Linked DNA regions of Alligator mississippiensis. The protein of the gene in region 2 interacts with the protein of the main gene of each other region in a biochemical or structural test. Links are inferred from orthologs where the notes say so. Each region holds a gene or a part of one and is shown on either strand. Other genes may lie near its edges.

Region 1 (11,242 bases), on a different chromosome or scaffold from region 2:
ATAGCGTAGATGTTCTCCTTGCACTGCTGTGCCACACGCTCTGAGCCTGTCTTGATCAGGTACTCCATTAGCGTCATGGCCTGGGTAGAGGAGGAGGGGAGTAACTCAGGGGGGTGGGGACAGGGGAAGTGCACCTGTCATGGCCTGCTTCACTTTGTCCACCATGGCCTATCCCATGCTACTACTGCCAACCCCAGCCTGCCACACACCACTACGTGCCTGCTGCAGCCCACCCCACCCCAACAGCCCACCCCAATATGCAGCTTTCATTCACCCCACTACCACCATAGCCTAGGTACCCTGTGACTCTCCCAGGTCCCCATAACAGCAATCAGAGTCCCTGCCCCACACAGGCAACCCTGGACCAGGCCACAGGGAGGCTGTAGCCATGTGGCCCAAAACCAGGCTGGGCTATGTGGCCCAAAACCATCACCCAGCCATGACACTCAGCTGGCCCCAGCACCACCTGTGCTCAGGTACAGGGTCCCACTGCCAGGGCACTCAACCTCGTAAGATGTATCTAATGATTCTGTGATCACATAACTGTAAAAGCCACATTGAAGGCAGCAAGTAGCAAGGCAGGTAGTGCCCAAAGGGCTAGAGTAGAGGGACCTAGGAGCTTTTCTTCACCTCAGGGAAGGAGATCTGGTGGGTTACAGCAACAGTGGGTTCTGGGAGCCAGGACACTTGGGATATGCACAGCTTGGGGAGGCCTGCTGGCTTAAAGCAAGCAGTTTGGGAGCCAGGACACCCAGGTTCTCTTCCAGTCTGAGAGGGGAGATGTGGGGATGGCAGGGATCCCAGATGCCCAGATTCCAGTGGCTGAAGCTGCAGCAGGGCATTACCTTGTAGACGTGGCGCCAGTTCTTGCCATGGTCATTGAGGCGTTTCCAGATCATGCTCATGATCTCAGAGAATGCAACCACGTTGTAGGTGAGGTCAGCTATCTCGGACATGAGCGAGCTAGACGGGCCCCATGGGTCATTGGATGTAGCCTCCCGCACCTTGATCTCTGCCTCTGAGTAGTTGTGCACAATATTCTTCATCTGGCGCCGAAGTGACGAAGTCGACATGGTGACAGCAGGGTGGGTCTGGCACTGGGAGACAGGCAAGTGGGGGCAGGGCCCCTCAGTCCAGCAGGGGCTTCAGAGAAGGCCTTTGTGTCTGTAGAGCTGGGGGTGAGGGCTGGGGTGGCAATGAAACTGCCGGTGTTAAAGGGGAGCTCACAGCTCCATGTCAACAGGCTGGCATGGCTACCAGTCAGGGCCACATCTGCAACAGAGAGATTGGGGGGCATCATGGACAGTGCCCACACCTGCACACCAACAGCACAGCATCCTGGGAAGCAGCAAGGAGCCAGAATGCCTAGGTTCCCACACCTCATCCAAGGCTAGTTCCCTGGTCCCAGGCCAAGCTGAGCCCTGGATCAGCAAAGGACAGTCCCACCTCTGGGACTTCTAAGTGGAATGCAGTTGCCCTTCAGGCAGCATGGGACATGGACCCAGTAGAGAACCAAGCCCCACTATGCCACAAACAGCCAGGTGCTGCCCTGGGGAGGGCAGCCAAGGGCTCCAGGATGGCTACACGTGCCCATGTCCCACCCGTCCCCAGCACGTGCAGACCCCTGAGAGATGAGTAGGGGCCACCTTCTGGGGGTAAGGGAAAGTTGCTGCAACTAGGATGCCAGGTAGGACCCACAGGACCACCCTCTGAGGAGTGAAAAGTCGAGTTTAGACCCTCACCCTTGGGAAATGGGAACAGTGACCCCCAAGTCAGCGAGTCCCAAAGAGTGTACTGTAAAAGTGGTAGAAGTGTGCCACAGGAAACAAACAGGATGAGGCCCCAGCCATGTAGGCCCTGCACAGCAGGACCAGGCCCACAGACTGGCAAGTGAACGGTGCTGCCAGTTTTAAATGCAGAAAATGAAAGTTCCCCAGGTACCAAAACTCTGAGAAACAGTGCCTCAAATGCTCCATGTGGGCACTCCAACCACAAGAGTACCCCCTTTTACATGGACACCCCTACCTCAAAGGCAGATGCATCTCAGCACTAGGCAAGGGGATCCTCCACAGGGATCCTCCAGGCAAAGGAGCCCGTGCTGAGCCAAGTCCAGCACAGTGCTGCTGCAGGAAGGAAGGAAGCCTCACAGCTCCTTGTCCCATGACTCACACCTCAGAAATGCAGAAGGCCCCCACTTCCTTCCCCTTGGGCTAGTCCTGCACCAGGAGCTTGAGACGTGAGGCATGAGAGGCTTGGACTCCATGGAAGACACTTGAATGTGCCCTCTACCAGAGCTGGGCAAAGTGCTATAAGGAAAATAGCAAGACCCCCCCCAGTGACCCCAGTAGCATCCTCTAGTGTCCATCATGGCCCTAAGCTAAAAGAGACAACCCAAAGTCCCTGAGGGGCAGCCAGCCCCCACTCACAGCCCCAGCTCAGGATGTTCCTAGTGCTGGGAAGCCCAGGTTGAAAGCAGTTAGGGCGAGGGGCTGGGAGCCACCTGGGAGAGCCCCCAACCCCACTGGATCATCTGGGCAAGTACACCCCAAGACATCAGGAGCCTAGAGAATGCAACACTCACCAGCCCCCCAGCCCCCAGGATTAATGTCATCAGCCCTGTTCTACAGAGCAGCAAACCAAAGCCCAGGAAAGCAGAAAGGATTTGTGAACAGATCTGGAAAAAGACCCCAAGCATCCTGGCTCCCAACCTCCCACCCCCTTGGGCAGATAATGGAGAAGGTAAAGGCAAGGAAAGCCCAGATTGCCAGAAGCTGAGCTGAGGAAGCGTCTGCCAGAGTTAAAGAGGAGACAAACTTAAAGCCAGGATTTCCTCACAGGCCTCAGCATCCAGATACATTCATCCCCAACTCTTACCACACAGACCCGTGCAGGAACCCATGCACCCAGAGTCCCAGCTCACATTCTCCTGGGCCAGCCATACCCAAAGGGCCAGCTACCCAAGAATTAGTAGGGCCCTATCCCAGCTGGTACTACCCAGGTCCTGAGAAAGGCAGGTATCTAAGCAGACCAGACAGGCAGCAGGTGAGGCAGGGAAACAGGGGTCTCACTGAAGAAGGGTCTTGCCTACAGCAGGTTGGCAGTGAAGGGGGAAATGGAACCCAGGCACCTTGCCCCAAGGCCATGTCTCCAGCACCTGTAACAAGCACAGGAGCTCTGCTCAGGGACACCTGCACACTCAGAGGAACCAGGACAGGAAAGGGAGACAGCCTCAAGTGTCTCCCCACTGCTGCAGGCACAGGGACCCACAGCAGTGTCTCTAAGGTGAGCCTCAGTGCCCCCCTCCTCCCCCTGCCCCCACTCTGAGGAGCAGAATCTGGCCCCTGTCCTGCCCAACTTAGTTCTGCTGGGGCAGAAACAGACAAAGCTCTGGTCAGTGGTCCTGGGAGGAGTAGAACCATGAAACTGACTCCAGTAGGAATATGGGAAGGCTCACAGATAAACTGGAGGAAAGACAGACCCTCCCAGGGGCTGAGGCACGGGCTACCTCTGGCTTGCAGATAGCATCAGGGCTACAATCTCCTCCCGAGCACCACCTGCCAGAGTCCCCCTCCCCATCACATACACACAGCTGATGCAGCTCTGGGCCAGCAAGGTCCTGCTAGGAAGCACAGACCAGTCCCTCCTGCTCACCAAGGGAGAAGGGATAACAGGCTAGACCCAAGGCAGTAGGTCCCCTCCCTCCCCCACCAGTCCCCAGCATGAGTGGGGCCACCCCAGCTGGGCCTGGCCCTGGGCAGCAGAAGCAGGTACTTGACAGCTTTTGGGAGCCTGGGAGAGGGAAGAGCTGAGGCAGGGGTCACCCTGGCTGCTGCTGCTGCCCAGCCAGTTAGTGCCACCGGGGTGGGTCACAACACCTCCCTTTCCCCTGCCGGCCCGGTGCTCCCTGGCACCCAGTAGGGTCCCGCAACCGCCCAGCCCGGGCTCCCCACGCAGGGCAGGGAAGGGCCTGATGGGTCGGAGCAGCAGCCACGGCCCCACCCGCGGACTCTGTCCCTCCGCGCAGGGCCTGGCCTCGCTCCCGGGAGGACTTTGGACTCCGGCGCAGGCTGCGCCCTGCCAGGCCCTCGCCCCGCGGCCGCACTCACCTCCCCGCCGCGGTCTGCCGGGCCAGGCCGAGCCCAGTCACCCGGACTCCTGGGTGCTGCCGCTGCCGCTGCCGCAGGCGGGGCGGGGCGGGGCCGGGGGTCTCGAGCGTCTCCCCCGCCCGCCCCGGCCCGCTCCAGCCTCAGAGCCAGCGGCGGCGGCCCCGCGCGGACATGCCCGAGACGGCGGCGGCGTTCCGCGGGCGGGCGGGTGGGTCGCGGTCGGGCCCCTCTCGCTGGGGGCCACTCTAGCCCCCCTCTATGGCCCCGGAAGCCCCGGGGCCCCTCGGCGCCACGGAAGGAGGGAAGGGGAGGGGGAAGCAACCACAGGAGGACTCCGCACCGGAAGCGGAAGGTGCCTGCCCGGCCCACTTCCGCCCTCGCTCCCTGCCCTGTCAAGCTCCCACCCCGCGCCGCGTCGTGTCAGCCTGCGCGCGCCGTTCCTTCCGGCCGCTGCCATGGAGACGGGGCGGGGCAGCAGAGCTCCACCCCCGAGCTGAGACGCCAGGCGCGAGTGCATCCGCCGAGCCTTAAGGACGCGGGAGTCTCGGTTCTCCCCGTTGGCAATCGAGGCGGAATAGGCTGCTTGGCCCGTTGACCCTGCGAACATGGCAACCTAAAAATGCGGGGGGGTAGTAGGTTTAGGTTTCAGGTGGAGGGTTGCTGCTGCCGGGTGCTGCAGGGAACGTCGGAGGCAGGGTCGTTCGGGAGAAGTGTTCATGGGCCCAGCTGCATGGGTGGGCCCTGAGCAGCGCCTGGTCCAACGGCTCTCCCCGCACTGCCCAAACCACGGGTCCAGTGAAAGGTACCCCAAGACATCCTTGGCCCTCCTCAATTGATTTCAAGCTTGGAAACAATCCATTGTCATTTGGCCCGCGCCCACCGAAGAGGCAAGGGAAAGTAGAGGAGTTCTACCTGAATCTTCAGTCCACAGTGAATGAAATACAAGACATCTGGACGTATCTGTCATCACCCATGGCAGCATTAGATCTAAATATGATCATGCTGACTACAGAAAGATGTGTAGACATGGAGTTAGCACAAGAAACAGGAACAGAAAGCATATATGAACCTTGCTGCAGGTGACTTAAGTCATGGGGTTACTGGTTTTTAGTGCAAAAGCATGCACCAAATGGCATGGATTCCACCAGAGTTGTACACAGAGTCCAACCATGATTAACCATGAGTGAAAAAAATCTTCCCTCAATGCAAGTGAAGCAACATGCAAATGACCTTCACAGAAAGCAAGTTAAAGTTGCAGAAAAACCAAAGGAGTTGAAAGAGGAAAAATCAAACTGTCAAGCAGGGGTTCTATGCAGATATCAGGAGCAGACTGAATGAAGAAGATCTGGATATCTCTTGGTTTAATACAATAATGAAAGTAAAGGTAAATGTGCAAGGACACAAGAGGAAACCCAGGAAAAAACACAATGGATATTGAAGATTACTTGGAAAATGATGGAAGGAAGGAAAAAAAGAAATCAAGAGGGAGTCATTATAGGAGTCCGCCAATGCCAGACCGCAGCCAGCAAGGCCAGCCATACCTTGTCATGTGTCCAAAGATGCATCTCAAGCCGGTCCAGAGAGGTGATACTCCCCCTCTATGCGACTTTGGTCAGGCCACAGTTGGAGTACTGTGTCCAGTACTGGGCGCCACACTTCAAAAGGGATGTGGCCAGCCTGAAGAGGGTTCAGAGGAGTGCCACCCACTTGGTGAGAGGGCAGCAGGACAGGCCGAGGAGAGACTGAAGGACCTGAACCTGTTGCAAGAGGAGGCTGAGGGGGGACCTGGTGGCTGCCTACAAGCTCATCAAGGGAGAGCAACAGCAAATAGGTAAAGCCCTTTCCTCCCCAGCACCACCTGGGGTGACGAGGAACAATGGTAATTAGCTGATGGAGAATAGGTTTAGGTTAGAGATCAGAAGGCAATATTTTACAGTTAGGGTGGCCAAAATCTGGAACCAACTTCCCAGGGAAGCGGTCCTCGCCCCTACCCTGGACAAATTCAAGAGGAGGTTGGACGATCACCTGTCTGGGGTCTTGTGAACCCAGCATTCATTCCTGCCTGTGGCAGGGGGTCAGGCTAGATGATCTGTTGAGGTCCCTCCTGACCCTAGCTACTATGAAACTATGAGACCAACAGAAAAGAATGTTGGCAGAAGCTTGCCCAAGAAAGAACAAAAGGTAAAGAATTATACCAGTGTAGCAGAAAGCCCCCTTTTCCTCTTGCCTGCGTTTGCTCTCCCCTCTTTGGATGTTTCTCTTCTACCTTTTCTTCCTTCCTCTTTCTTTCAGTATAAGATAAGGAATTGTATTTTAAAGTTTGTACGTGTGTATTTCGTATCTCCCCTTGTATTTTGGTATTTTTATCTATTTGTGTGCCATGGCATTACTCTTGTAGCTTATATTTTATACTCCTCACCTTTTAACTAAATGTGTTTAGTTTCAGAAGTAAGTTATACACTGTAACAATGTTAACAAGGGCAGGAATTAAACTGCAGCTTTCCTGTATCAGGCTGGCCCCTGAAAGACCTAGTGAATCAGTGACTGAATGCGTGTAACACAGTAGCAAGTATCAATTAACACCTAGGGAAACTGCAGATCAACCAACAGAAGAAATCAATAGGAGACAATGTAGCAACCGGGAATTCTCTATACTTCACTGTTCAAGGGCTAGAAGCCCTGGTCTGAATTAATTAACACCGGGGACCAACTTTTGGGCTGAATATCTCCAGATCGACCGCTCCCAGAGCCCTATTCAAAATTCATCAATGGACTCCCAAACCTGCACGTACTTGCGGATGACCCCAGGGGCTGACAGATGCCATCCAGTAGCCACCGAGGGGGAAGTCCCACAAGGGTCAACGACCCCTGGATTGGACAAACCTGAAAGCTGGGGAGTCACCAAAGTCTGCCAAGGACAGATAAAAAGCAGTGAAAAGTGACCCTCAGCGGCACCCTCTTGATCTCCAACTTGACCAGCACCCGACCTGTCCAGCCAGAAGGACCAGCGTGGTGATAACACCACGCTGGAAGAAGCCTTGACTGGCCATCGACGGCAGACTCCAGAGCCTGTGGGATAGGTATACCCGACTCTTGTAGCTCGCTACTGTGTGTGTGCGCACGTGTGTGGGGACCAGCCCCCAGGTTTATGATTTGACTTCATTACAGTGTTTCAATCTGCCTAATAAACCAGAATTTTAAGGATCCCGAGTTGGACATTTGTAGCCAACACCAGAAGCAATGAAAGACAATATTTTGGAAAGCTTGTGACTGCAGCTGCCAAACTCACAGGTTAAGTCACTGGAAGACTTAGGGGGGATTGAGCATCTGTAAACAGTGATACTTCCCATTGAAAGTTGAGGCAGGTAATCAATTACAAAAAGGAAGCATAAGACAGAAGTGTCACTTCAAAATCATTTTCAATAGATGAGATTTGTTAAATATCCAAGAAAGTTATCAAAATCTGCATGGCTCACCAGCTGAAATTATAAAAGAGGTACTATGGAAAAGCTGAATTTCTGAAAAATGGGAAACCACCTGAGGAGGATGGGTTCTGCCCAGAAATGTCCAGTAGAAGGCTCGTGAAATGGAAACTTCTCAACTTCCTAAAATAAGCCAGTAATCTGGAGGCGCAGCATCACCATTAGGAAGGGAAGTCAGGTACTTGCAAGACTGGAGAGAAGTAACCCTTTTGCCAATTTGCAGGCAAAGCTCTTAGCAGCAGCATCTCAAATGAAGTCCAAGTCCATTGTGACAAGAGGGGGCAGGATTTAGCAAGAGAATATTGTGGACTGATCAGGTCTTTTTCTTTAGACCTTAGAATGAAGTGCTGAAGGTAGCAGGTCAGTCTTTACTCTGTGGATTTGAGGAAGGTGTGTGATAAAACTTCACCAAGTCACTATGGAACATCTCACAGCATTATGGAATTCCACAAAAATGGTGGCTGTTGCTGAAACTCTGCATGACAATTCTGAATACAAAGAAATCAAGAGAGAGCAAATTCAATGTTAGTTTTAGAAATACAGATAAAATTAGAACAGATAAAACTAAGAATGGAGTGAGCAGGGCAGCAGCATGTAGCCTTCTGTCTCCATCCCCACTCCACCCCCCACTTGCCCACCAATCTCCCTTCAGGTGATTTTGTGCAGTGTGCTCCTGTAAATCTTGAGTATAATTTAAACTATTAACCACTATTCTGGAATAAGAGCTGTGTAAACGAACAGAACAAAATATAGTTCATTGTATTTTATCTTAATTTCTATCTCAAAGATAAGATTTTGAAGAGTATATTTTGGTTATCATATAAGCCTGAAGATCAACTGACATACAAGTACCAAATATGGGAATTTCAGTCAGTTCTGTATTAGAAAAGTAGGAGTAAATATTTAGAAATACAGATAAAATGTATCCTCTTACCCCTCTGGTTCATTCTGGCTGGTGAAAGAAGTTACAAAGCAAGAAACAAGAGGCATTTCACTGATTTAGATGGTGCCAATATCTTCCTGCAGCCTAGCAGCAAGGGAGGTATGCAAAAAACCACCATTGGTGTTCACAGAAGCTTCCAGAAAGATTGGACTCAGAATCAACATAAAGAAGACCAAGTCAATGTGTTTAAATACTGAGAACAAAGATTGTTTCACTGTTATCAACAGTGAAAAAGAGATCATGAATGTCAAAGAACGTACATATCCAGGCAGTACAATAACAGCAAGCGGAGACAATGAGAGAGATAAAGATGTCAGTCAATCAAATGTATTAAAGCCTTTCCATCACTTGGAAACATTTGGAGGACAAATCTGACAAACCTAAAAAACAAAGTGCAAGAACATTGCAGCAGTAGGAAAAGCATGTTCCTCTCCAAGCCCAAGTACCCAAAGACAGTGCCAAAGATTTGTGTAGTTATCAGAAATATTTCGTAAGGACTGCCCAAGAAGAAAATTCAGAGCATTTTGACCTGAAAGAATAACAAATGAAGAGCTACAGAAGAAATCTGGGGTACAACCTACAGCCACAGGAGTAAAAGAGCAAAGCTGGAGACCCCCAGGCCATATATGTAGCATGAAGAATTAAACCTTCCCCCACATAGTCTGGAGGTGGAAACCAGCAGGGAGAAGAAACAGATGGAAACTACAGAAATGAGGACAAGAGCAACAGGAAGGGACATGCAAGAGCATAGTTCCACCTTGAATTCTATCCTGCCATGGGACTGTACACTGGATTGTTGCTGGAAGGGAGGAGGGCGTGCGTATTACATGGTTAAGTTCAGTGGGGGTGGAGTGGAGATAGGACCGTGTAATGTTTGGGTTGTGTTCAGCATCAGACACCTGAGAGACATTTCTGCCATTGGCACCGTCTCCCACTCTGCTCATGCTGTAGGTAGTGGAGTGAGGAGTGCTCTGGGGCTCTGGATCCTTTACCTGGGGTCTGGAAAGTGCTGTGGGCATGCTGCAGCACACAATTTTGGGGACCAGCCAGGTGCCTCTCTGTGCAGTGGGATAGGTTCTGGGCCAGTCAGCTGTGCTGGAGAATCCCACTGTGGCTAAGTCCCTGTGCCCTAGGACTGGTGCCTGGCACCTAGGCCAGGCCTTACTTGCAAGAGTATCCAGCACTGGTCCTGGACAAGGCCTGGGCAGCCCATGAGTAGAGGGGGAAAGCCAAGCTTCCCTACACAGCTCCCCACCTTGGGACCCCCGCTTGCCCACCAATCTCTCTCCAGGTGATTTTGTGCAATGTGCTCCTGTCCCAGGAGGTGAATCAGTCTGAAATGCAGCACATTGTGGCCCCTGCATGAGAACCAATCACACCCAACAGAGATATGCCATTGCCACACGCTGAGCCAGTCTGTGCCCATGCATGTGCCTAGATCAGGGCCAGCACCCTTAGAGACCCATAATAGGATCTTTTGTGCACTATGCAAGGGAGTGGCAGGAGCTAAGACACTTCCAACAGTACCTGTCATGAGCACAGGGAAGTCTCAACTGGACTGAAGGGATGGCCTCTATCCAAGAGTCAGTCATTACAGGCCCCCTGCAACTTATCACAAGCACGAGTAGGCCATCCTCCTATTGTCAGGTCTCCCAGAAGCAGGGGACACAGTGGAAATACCTCTGGACCCGTCTTCCTCCCCTTTTCTATGTCACAAGTTGGTATGGATAGGGTGGTACAGGGGAGGTGGGGGTTGTGCTGCCCTGCCAAGGTGAAAGAGTATCATCTCTTACCCCCATAGGTAACAAGTTCTGTCTGATGTCAACTCTGGATGGGCGGGGGGGGAGGGGGGTTAGGCTACATAGTTGCCCCCTGGCATGATGTACCTTCAGATTTTTCGGAAAGGGCCCTGGCCTGGGGCACGGAGATGACATAGCTTAGCTATGGAAGGGTGATAGCATGGCTGAGTAGTGCCCGACAGCTAAATCCAGGGAAGGAAGCTGTTCTGAGCCTGGACCCTCTTGACACATATGCATACACCATGGTAAGAAGTGAGGGGTCTGAGCAGTGCAGAGGGACACAAACAAACATGGCACCATGACACTGAAAACAGCAAATTTATTTCCCAGAAAAAAACAAAAACCAAAACCATACAGACAACTAAGAATGAAGTGAGGAGCAGGGCTGTAGCATGTAGCCCGTCTCCCTTTCCCCCAACCTGGGGAGACCTATTCAGCCCTAAAAAGTTGTAGCCAGAAGCAGGCTTTAGTCCCTGTGGTACAGTCTCTGGCTTTGGCACCTGGGGGCAGTCTCATGGCCGGGTCATATAGACCTGTACCGCATCCAGCAGGCTCTGTGCCAGCCTGAGCACCTCTTGCTCCTTGGCAGCCGGGAAGGCCTCATTGGGAATGGTGGGTGGGTGGTGGTAGCTGGGATACTGTGTGGTGTTGCTGTCCACGCCATAGTCTCCCAGCTTATCCACCAGCCCCAGGACACCTTCCAGCTGAGGGGCATAGGCCGCCACCTTCTGGGCCAACGTGTCCAGCATGTGCCCTGGCTCAAAGGGCTCTCCGTGACTGAATGTGGCGGCAGCCAGAGCTTTCTCCACAGCACGGTGGACTTTGTAGAAGACCCACTCAGTGGCATGTTGGCCCACATCATGGCAGGCTGCTCGTAAGTCACTCTCTGCCTGCCGGAACCAGCGCATGGCC
Region 2 (11,293 bases):
AATTAATTGCTAACACGTTACTTTGATGAGTTAATCAAACTTTTGTTTCACAGAAGGAAGAGAACTAAGATATATTTAACATGTCCAAGGCAAATTTCTTAAGAGCCTGAAACTGGAAGGGATTTCTTGAACCACAGAGTTCAGTCCCCTGCATTTGCAGTTGCTGATTTACTACAAACCCCAGCACAAATCTACAAACAACAAGCCCCAAAACACCAAGAATGGATGCAAAAGGCAAAAACAAGGGAAACAAAGGCACTGTCAATGTCCTGCCGCAACCATGACAGGAATGTGGTTAGTTAATACACGCTAAAATGATTCAAGAAGAGGTCCGTGCTCCATGCTACAGAAGAAGGCAACACTCTCACAGTGCATAGGGGAAACAAATTCCTTCCTGACCCCAAATTTGGTGACTAGTAAGACCACAAACAGAAGAGAACAACCCACATGCCAACATCTACTGGGTTTCTAAGTACCAACAGGAGTATAAGCACACCCCAATCAAAAAATTCCAGCCTTAACTGTAAACAATCCCAATGCATCAGTGAAAAGCAGCGAAAAATCCCCAAACCCAGCATTCTTCATGACAAGGGGCCAGAAAAAAAGATAAATTAAAAAATTCTTCCTGGCTCTCAGCAGATGGCTACCATCAAATACCCTGAAGCCTGGGACTGCCAAACACCTACCACACTGCAAGTTACGTCTATCCTCCAACATGGAGACTGCAGGTGACCATTAAGATTATCCTGTCACAGACAACTAACTTCATATTCTTCCTATACTAATCAAATTCCATGTTAAAACTAGTTAAAAGCTGAGCAAAAAATATAAATATAAAAATAAAACTTATCAGATGCATCAGAAAGCTCTTCCAGAAACTTATTCCACTGATGGCAAAAAACCTTGTAATTTTCAGCCTAAATGTATGTCCACACATTATATCACTGTGTATACTTTATATTTATGTAAGCTAATGTCCTAATACCAAGAATTTGTTGAAGATAATAAAACATACTTAGTATAATCCATAAACTTTACAATATATAGCCATTGTTAGAATAGTTACTGATCAAACCAACGTAAGATGGTGTCTTGCGATATTAATGATAACCCTGGATGTGTTTACTAACAAGGTAGACAATATGTAAAAGTAAATAAGAACAATACTGCCTGTGCCTTTCTCACAAGGGACTACAGATAATAGTGCATTCACCCGAACGGATCCCAGATGACTGTAAGCTGATATGCAAACAATATGTCAAGAGATCACATCTCCACTACTATGCAAATCAGAGGATGAACCAGCAACTACCACACACTGTGTTGCAACTATTATGAGCATAAGAATTGCCATTTACTAGGTCAGATAATAGGTCCATCTTGTCCAGTGTCCTGTCACACAGATGTCCCCACTTGGCACACTAGTTATTAACCTTTGCCCATCACCCCTGTCCCTGTTTTTTTTTATCATTTGTCCCAAGGAATCACTTGTTGCCTTAAACCGGGAGGATGATAGTTTACCTGGTGGGCCTAGGCCCACAATCCCCTAAGGCAGCAGTTCCCAGTGCAGTGCCCACAGGTGCCATGGCACCCCCTGAGGTTTTATTCAGGTGCCTGCATGCATTTTCATGATCAGGAAAAATCATTATTCCAACCAAAAATGCTGTCATATTGGCACCCACTGCTTTTTCTTTGACACAAACCTTGGGAACCCATGCCCTAAGGCAACAAAAAGGCATGTCACACAGGTGTCCCTCCTTGGTGCAGTTGTCACGAGCCTTTGACCTTCACTCCCATCCCTGATTTTTACCATTTGTCCCAAGCAATCGGTTATTACTTTCTCATTCACCTTCTTCTCCAAGAAGGGCTTATAGTTTCCCCATGGTGGGCACGAATCCCCAAAATAGCAAATAGGCCTGTGTCACAGGTGTCCCCCCATGGTGCACTTGTTATGAAACTTTGACCCTCACTCCCATCCCCATTTTGTTTTTCTGTTGTCACAAGTAATCAGTGATGTGCCCTCATCACCCAGGGGGGCTTATAGCTCTACTTGGCCCACTGTCCCAAATGGCATATCAAAAGGCCTGTCACACGGGTGTCTCCCCTTGGTGAACGCATTTTGAAGCTTTGACCCTCACTTCTGTCCCTGTTTTCTTTAGTTGTCCCCTGTAATCACCTGATGTGCACTTAGTGCCACTCTCTCCCAGATTAAAGTGGGCTTTTAGCTTTACTCAGTGGGCAACAGCCCGTGCCTGTGTCACACAGCGGCAGAGAGTGGATGCTGAACGGGACTATGAAGAAGGTATGACCAGGTTTTCGTTCCTCTCTCACTTGCAGCCCCCAGCATTTAAGAACCAAGAGGTTCCAATTCAGAGGCGGTACCCCCAAGTCCTGTGCTCAATAGCTCCTGATGCCCCTTTCCTCCAAGAATTTGTCCAGCCTCTTTTGAAGCTAGCTAAGCTGGCAGCTTCCTTAACACCTGGTGGCAAGGACCTCCACACTGGAAAGATGTGTTGGGTGAAAAAAGAACTTCCTTGTGTTCACTTTAAACTTACTACCTGCTAGTTTGGTTTTGTGACCCTGTTCTTCTGCAAAAGAGAGTAAAGAATAAACCGTGATTGACTTTTCTCCTTGCCATTTCGTTTTGTGCGAACCTACATCACATGTGAGTGTCCCTGTCCCCGTCCCCTGCCCCAGTCTCTCTTTCCTTAACTGAACAGGCCTCACCTCTGTAGCCTCTACTCAGATGGAAGTCCCTCCATTACCACCAACCCTCCCAGAACAATTTCAGCAACATTACCACCACCTTAAGTTTCAATGCTGAACTGCGATGAACATTTCAAAGACAAAACTGTCCTTGCCCCCCAAAAAAGGAAGAAAAAAAGAGAGAGAGAACTGCCACTTACTGCTGTAACACACCTCAAGGAGTTTATTGTGATAGCTAGGTTTCAATCCTGTTAGACAACAGGTAACACCCAAGAGCTGCGCCTTCAGCCCCCACCATACTAAAACAGTCACAGTCCAGCTTAGTAAGAGTCTAGGAGGAAGGTGCCAATACACTAAAGCCAGCAAATGCCCCCTGCACAGCATAAAAACCTCCCAATCCTCAGTCAACGCCTTTCCCTGCAGCAGCTCTTCCCCAGCACCCTGGCTCAGTGCTGCGCAGAATCCTAGAAAACATTGGTTAGAAGGGACCCAAGGAGGTCATCTCATCCCACCTCCCGCCTCAAAGCAGGACCATCCCCAATGAGATGATCCCAGCTGAGACTTTGTCTAGCCAGGTCTTCAAAATCTCCACGAATTAAAAACATCAAACTTTACAAAATTCTCACACTGCTATACTAAAAACCCAGTATACGTCCACCCAGAACAAAAACAACCCCGCCCCCCCAAAAAAAACAACCCAACCCTTTGCATACTGACTTCCATTCCACCCAGGAGAGTGCACACAACACCTCTGCCTGAAGAAGGGCGTTTGTGCCTGCAAGCTTGCAAAGAACAATTTTTTCCAACTACTGAGTTCATCTCATAAAAGATATCACATCTCCCCAAAGAACATTGTCTGCTTAAGTCCTGAGACCCACTTGGTGACAACCAAAGATCGACCAGCACTAACAATATTTATACACGGGAGGCTTGCCTGTAAAAAAATAAAACAAAATAAAATAAGTGGCATGGGTTCAGACTCAGCAAACGCTGGCACCCAGGCAGCAGGATGGGATGGGGCGGGGGAAAACTAAGTTATGGAAGGAAGGGCTGGCTGGGGAGCGAGGGGCCACAGGAGGCCTTCTCCCTCTGCCCACCCTGCCTTGAGCCAGATGCGGTGGTGAGGTCCCTTCCAACCCTCCTTCCACCGGATCCCATGAAGATGGGAAGAGCCGGCTTGGCTGGGGGATCCCCCGCCTCCCCCTTCGGCACCCCAGTGCAAACAACTTCTGCAACTCTCTTCCCCAAGTTGCTCCCCCCGGGCCCGAGGGGCGGGAAGCGCGGGGGCGAAGTTGCAGCCCGGCGCCCCGCACTCCCCTACCTGGTGCAGCGCGTCGGCGGGCAGCTGCGATGCCCTGAACAGCTCGGCCACGCCGCTGCCCCCCGCCGCCGCCTCGGGGGCCGGGCCGGGCCGGCAGCGGGCGAAGAGCTCGGCGTAGCACTGCTGCTCCGCCTCGCTCAGGGGCAGCAGGAGCGCCGGGGCCGCCGCAGCGCCCGGCTCCATGAGGGCGGCGGCGCTGCAATGCAATGCGATGCGATGCAACGGGGAAGGTGCAGCCCGCGGCACTCCCCCGCCTCCCCGCGGCTCTGCAGTGGCCGCCGCCTTCCCCGCCGGGCACGCGGCTCGGCCCGGCCCGCCACGGGGAAGCCACGGGTGGCTGGTGCCTCCCCCTGTGCCTGGTGCTTGTGCCCCCACGCTTGCAGAGAGCGATCCCTCCAGCTGACGAGCTGGTCTCACCAAAGGTGTCACATCTGCCCACTGTCTCCTGCGCATTTGTAGGCTCCCCTCCCTGCCCCTGGGCTTCAGAACAGCTTCATTGACCCCCTCTGCCGCCTGGCTTCCTCTCGTTAGGGCTTCAGGAGCTCTGAACCCCTAGGCTGTCCACATCCTGGAAAATGGGAGGAAAAACACTGTTAGACTCTCCTTCTGCCTCAGTGGTGAGGTGTATGGGGTGCGCGTGCACCCCCCCAGAGTGTCGGTGCACCCTGCCGGGCCGCGCTCCCCGCATAGGCAATGGGCAGGCAGGAGTGCCTGTGCCCCCCTGCAAGCATCAGCCAGGGAGTAGGGGTGCTGGATGAAGCACCGTGGCACTTCTGGGAACACCGCAGCCGCTTCCTGATCCGCACAATCAGCCACAGGAGGATCCCTACCCTGGGTCAGCAAGATTGGCCATGAGGGACCCCCCCCACTTCTGTCACTGACTGGTCACTGGGGGGGCACGTGCCCCCCCCTGACTACAATGGTCGCTCATGCTCTGCCTGAAGAAGGGTGTTTGTGCCCAAAAGCTTGCAAAGAACAATTTTTCCAACTATTCAGTTGGTCTAATATAAGATATCGCATCTACCCAAAGAACCTTGTCTGCTTACGTCTTTAGACCCACGCAGTGACAACCAACAACCCCAAAGATCACCCAGCACTAACTATTTATACACGGGGGTGAGACCAGCTTGCCTGTAAAAAAAGTGGCATGGGTAAAAAAAGCAAGCACTGGACCTGTCTGCACTAACCCCTGGGCTGTCCACGTTTAGAGTCCTAGAAAATGGGTGGAAATTAGTTAAACTAAATAAGATAAACTAAATGAGGGGACCTCAGGAGGTCACTCAGTCCAGCACTCTGCTCAAAGCAAGACTGCTCCCAACTAGATCACTCCAGACAAGGCTTTGGCCCAGGTCTTAAAAATCTCCAAGGATGTTGATTCCCCACCCTCCCTGGGTAGCTGGTTGCAGTGCTTTACTATCCTCCTCTTGAGAAGGTTTGTCTTAATACAGGTTTCCCTCGCTTTTTGCTATACATGTGTTCTTGGAAAACGACGCATACCTCAAATTTGCATAAAGGGAACCCACTTTCCAATGTAACAAATAGGGATATGTTCCAAGACCTCTACTGCATGGACCCCCAAGCCCATTTCTACCACTTTTACAGGACAATTTTGGTACTCACCAACAGCAGACAGTACACACAAGCACAGGGCACTATTATAATGGGGATGGCAACTACAGAAACATGTCACAAACAACAAGCGAGGAGCACAGATCCACACAGGAGAGACTATATTTTGGTTCGTGTCACTCCCACAATGCACCACACAAAGCAGCTGACTGCGGGCTTCCATCACACCGAATGCATAGGAGTGAATTTACCTCATATATAATGAATTTTTGGTATAGAGTGTCATTGCATAAGAGCAAATAAGCCCTTAGGCACTGGCAATGCGTAGGGGGTGCACGTGCACCCCCTGAGACTGGCGGTGAACCTCCTGCAAAAAGCACCGCTGACACTGCCAGCTACCCACGCCCCCAGGCCGCAGCCACCTGCAGGAGCTCACCGCTCGCTGCTGCCACACTCCCACCACTGACAGCACCGCTGCCGCCTGCAGGAGCTCGCTGCGCCCCCCCAGACTCTGGGAGCACATGGCGTTCATGCCCTTGGATACCAACGTGGCTCCTTCCCATTCCCAAAGCATCCCTGGGGTCTGTACTGTACACCCCTCCCAGGCACTCCTGTGAGATAGTATGGCAGTGCTATTCCCACTTTTCTACCTCAGGGGACTGAAACCCACACATTCAAATAAAATCTGGATAGAAACCGCTATAGGTGTTGTTACACATTTTCAAGCACTAACTTTGTAGCTGCTCTTATAGCTGCATGGTCATTTTTCCGGTGTGATGATTTGCACGTGTTGCTGGTCTAAATTTATTGCATATTTGCCCTGTTAATTGTGTGATAATTCCTTTGCAGTTGTGGCTAATCTCACTTCGCTCCTGTAGCTGGTCTAAATTTATTGTGCCATTGACCAGTCAATCCCATAATACATACAATGTATAGCAGGGGCCTGACTCTGGAGAGACAAGGTGACAAAAAGTTTGCAACAGGGAATTGGAAACAGATCTCCCAGCAGCCTCAACATAACACTTGAAGCACAAGATTAACCTTTGCCTGTCTCAGGAGGGAGGCTGACAAACTATCCCTCCCATTGGCCTCATGTCTCAGCATTTCTGAAACTCTTCTGATTTAACAGTGCTAATAAATCTTACCCAGTTCTACCACTCAAGTGCTGAGAGCAGTTTTGTGGGCACATTTGGCAGCACTGTGCCAGACAGCCTTGCAGAGCTATCACCTCCACTGTAAATAAAAACCAATGGGAGTTCCTGACAAAGAACTGATGTTTCCTCTGTCCGCTGTTTCTGTTTGGAGAGAGCATTCCTAGATCTTTACTTAAGTCAGTGTTTTAAAGCTCTCTCTTTATTAGATATATATTGTAGCCAAAATCCTTTTCACAACTGTATTGCTCATTGCCAAACATGCCACGTGAGTGCTATACATAAGAAAATTCATTAAACACTGAATGCTTAACAGAAAAATATTCCCTGGTTTGGTGGTCGTGTTAAGTATTGACACCCAATCATTCTGCACTCTGCACACAGACAACACTCCCTTTATTTCTATGAGCGTTTAGGGGTGATAATAGATCTTAATTTAAGCATACATGTAAACATTTGCAGAATCATGACCTAATTCCACTGTTGCATACATTCCTGGGACTGTCATGCTACAGGCTATTTGCAAGGCCACAGCAAACATGTTTCCATTTATCTTCTATTAGACTGCTGAGACTATCATGGGAGTAATGCCAAGCTATGTTTGCTAGGCCTTACAGGGGAATGGTGGATGGTAAATCCAGCAGGAAGGATGTCTGCAGGCCTTTGACTTTTTTATGTCAACACACAAGCATTGTAATTTTCATCCAGTGATTGTTTTTCTAGGTGTAACTCAGGGGATGAGGTATTTAACTATGAACCTAAATTAGGTGCCATTTTAGATAACCTTTACAAATGTTGATGATCTGCCTTCCAGTCAGCAATCTAATCTTCTGTTCTTAGCAACTTCCAGTGTTGGTAGTATGTGGCCCCAGACAAATAAGGATTTGTCATTTCATGCTAATCCTAGGTAAAAAGGACACCACCACTCATTTCCCCATAAATCATTAGGAGGTTAGGGAGCAAGTGATATTAAGAAAAGTATGCAGGAGATTGGTTTTTCCTTGATATTATGGCAACAATAGAATACATGTAGTAAATTCTAGCAAATTGAATATTTTAAGATCTCTTAAAATTACTAACATATCTGTCACCAACAAGCACATAAAAAGCTAAAAAACCTACTAAATAAATCCTTGCCCAATCTTTGCAATTATTTCATCTCCAAACTATCTTAACCACCTCACCTCACACAAAATTAGCCCCTTCTACTCTTCATGAATCAGACAACTTTGAACTCTTGTTATAATGTGCTGCATACAATTGGATGTTTTCTAAATGTTTGCAATGAATATTGAGGTGAGATGGTTTGTCAGTTGATATAGGGTTTTTTAGTTGACAATTATATTTAAGATTTCATAGACATTAGAGCTGGAAGGGACCTCGGAAGATCGAGTCCAGCCCCCTGCCTAAGGGTATAGTATTGAATTACTATTTTAGTGAAAGTATTTTACCGTGGTTTATATCAATCTGAAAAATCATTGTTTGTGGTATTATTTTGTTTTGCAATGAGGAAGCATAATACCTTTTTCACAGATCAGGTTTTGTAGTCAGAGTTAAGATGGCATAGGTCCATGATGATATGCTAATAAGGTTTAGACTCATCAATGGTTTATGGACTCATCACCAGGGATCCTGGTTTTCCCTGATTAAAAAAAAAATAAAAAAAAAATCACAAATTCTGTAATAAACCCCCCCAAATCCATGATTAAAATTAAAGGTCCCCCACAGTTCCCCTGGCCCTGCTTGTGCCCCTCACTCCCACCCACAGCTCCTGCTCCCCCAGCCCTGTTGAAGGGGGCCCCCAGCTCCCAGGGCTATGGGGCCAGGGGCCACGATCCACAGTCCCCTGCCCCTGGCAGGAGGTGACGGCTGCTGCAGCAGAGCAGAGCCTGGCTCCCCCCTGCTACCTGTTGCAGGCTTGACAGGGAGGGGGGATGGCTCCCCGCAGCGGCATGCACTCCCGAGCGGCAAGGGGGACCCAAGCCCCCCAAATCTGTGTGCAAGGTGGGGGCGAGCTCGGGCTGCGTACTGTGGGCTCCTGCCCTGCTGCCCTCCCTGGCGCCTCTGCAGCCTGGCGGGTGCGACCTGGTGCTGCAGGGCATAGTGTGGTCATGCAGGAAAGCTGCTTGCAGCTGAGCTCCATGCTGCCCTGGCGACGTGCCCCCTGCACACACAGCTGCAGTGAGGGCAGCAGCATGGGGTTGTGCCCCTCAAAGCTGCCACACATGCATGGGACACATCGGCAGGATAGCATAGAGCAAGCAGCTGCAAGTACCTTTTCTGTGCAGCCATGCTCTGCCCCGCAGCATCAGGTGGTGCCCATTGGGCTGCAGAGGCCCCAGGGGAGGGCAGCAGAGCAGGAGCCCACAGTGCACAGCCTGCACCCACTTCCACCCCATGCACAAATCTGGGGGACGTGGGTCCCCTCTGCCCCCGGGAGTGCACACAGCAGCGGGGAGCCAGCCTTGCCCCTCCTACCCCCCTAGACGAGCCACCCGTGGCCCTGTTCTGCTCCCTGCTTGAGCCCTGCAGCCACACATTGTGGCCCTGGGCCCCAAGCCTCAGAAACTGCCCAGCTGGGCAACACCCTGCCCAACTCCCTCCCTACCCCCCTCTCCCCAGCCGCTTACCTGCGGGAGTTGCTCTCCAGGCTTCCTGGAGCCATGGGCATATACATGCACATGGCACTCCCTGCCTGACCACCCTCCTCCTGCTCCCCCAGCCCGCTTCAGGCTGGGACTCTGCCAGCCTGCAGGGAGCTCATTGCAAAACTGCAAAATCCGTGGGTTTCTCTGGTAAAATGAGAAATCTGCGTTTGCCTCTGTTAAAAGATAAAATCCATGGTTTATTCCGTTTTTCCATGGGAAACAGAAAACCTAGATCCCTGCTCATCACAACCACCAAACAAGCAGTAATGATAAACTGTACATCCACAACTAAACCCCTGACAAGGATCAATTCTCTCTCTGGTCCTTTTCTTTATCTTCAGGCAATCAGTGGGAGAAATGGACAGAGGATGTGCACTCAAGTGCCAGTAGAAGACAAACAGCTCCCTATCTATCCTTGACCTATCACTGCACCAATACTGTTCAGCTCACATGAGAAGAAAACCTGACTGAAGCTGAAAGTGACATGGAGGAGGCTATGCTGGTGAGGACAGGAAAATACTTTCCAAAATGCAATCATTTTCAATTGAAAGTATATACTTGCAATTGGTCAAATTTAAGCTGTGTATAGGAGTGCCTCTGGATTTCTCACAGACTCCAAGGTCTCACAACTAATGTTTTTACCACCTGTAGTTGACTAGAAGATGCCATCTCATCCTGGCTGATGATGACCTGGCTTTGGATTTTTGTGCCTTAGATATCTCTTGACTTTAGTCTATAACAATGCAATATTAACAGGCTTGATGCCTTCAAGTCTTAGGAAACTCTACCGAACACAGGACACTGCAGTACATATCCCAAGCAACACTGGCTACTCTAAATATGTTGGACCTATCCTCCAATCTTTAAACTGGCTTCCAGTAGGATACTGAATCAAATTCAAGTCTCAGTTTTTATATGCCTGTCACTCTAGGGCCGAAGCCCTGGAGTTAGGCCAGCATGCAGCCCACAAGCCCCAGCAGCTGGTTCTCCCACTGCTGTGCAGCAGAGGAGAACCTTGGGGAAGCTGAGCACAGGTGCATTATGATGTGCTAAAAGGTCCTGTGATACTGGTAGGGTGGCCATCATAGAGGACAGTTCAGTTATTCTCTGTCCTCTACAAGAGGAAAATAGAGGACATAAAGGTGTCGGGTTTTGTATCAATAGAGAACCAAAGTAGCAGAAAACCAGAATGTCCTCTATGATGGCCACTGGTACAGTCCATGTGGCAGATGTGGTCCACGCAGTGGAGGGGGCCCTGTGCTGCCAACCCAGGGTGGAGCGACTGCCTGTAGTAGGGAAGGATCTTAAGGGGAGCCCTCCACAGCATGGCCCATACACTGTGTAGCCTAGTGGCTGCATGTCATTGCCACCTGTGGTCCCTGACTGTAGCATATTTGGACAGCCTGAGTTGCCAGATGTGAAGCCGGAGGCAGCATGGAGTTGTCACACCACTTCACCTGGCTCCGCGAGGCCCCCCAAAGTGTGGGGCTCAGGGTAGTTGCCCCAATTTGGCCCCCACTAGGGACAGCCCTGGTCACTGATACAGGAAGAAAAACATTCTTGGAAAAAAGTCCTAGATAGTGAAAAGAACTCACTTGGAAACTAGTGAAAATTGTGATCCTTATCACTTTCTGTTTCAAGTGCAAGGCGAATTTCTATGATGACATCTTCTTTAAAACAAAGAAACAAATAGGACCATGGTGGTGTGAAGCTAAGGTATACATCAAAGAAATCCAAGACAAAAAAACACTCCAGAATGTTAGTACATATGCCCAGAAATTAGGAAATCTGAGTTAAATTCCTCTCTTCACCCTGAGGGTATTCAAATCCCAAGATCTCAAAATAGTGCCTTAATGACCAGGTTAAAAGCAAGGCTGTGTTGAAGACACTTTCTACCT

The links.
Region 1: the proteins of REPS2 (region 2) and EPN1 form a complex in vitro, tested with the Homo sapiens proteins (3 studies listed by BioGRID and IntAct, with this or other methods). The link is inferred for Alligator mississippiensis from reciprocal best matches to the Homo sapiens genes REPS2 and EPN1.

Annotation. Positions count from the first base shown.
Region 1 is NC_081828.1:75,102,893-75,114,134, reverse strand, and holds the start of EPN1 (epsin-1), read right to left. Parts: upstream 4,452-11,242; 5' UTR 4,107-4,451; intron 1,273-4,106; 5' UTR 1,074-1,272; coding exon 846-1,073; intron 81-845; coding exon 1-80. Other genes in the region: sacsin, read right to left, coding at 10,843-11,242. UniProt on the Homo sapiens protein: Binds to membranes enriched in phosphatidylinositol 4,5-bisphosphate (PtdIns(4,5)P2). Modifies membrane curvature and facilitates the formation of clathrin-coated invaginations. Regulates receptor-mediated endocytosis.
Region 2 is NC_081824.1:321,556,918-321,568,210, forward strand, and holds the start of REPS2 (ralBP1-associated Eps domain-containing protein 2), read right to left. Parts: upstream 4,239-11,293; 5' UTR 4,211-4,238; coding exon 4,028-4,210; intron 1-4,027. UniProt on the Homo sapiens protein: Involved in ligand-dependent receptor mediated endocytosis of the EGF and insulin receptors as part of the Ral signaling pathway. By controlling growth factor receptors endocytosis may regulate cell survival.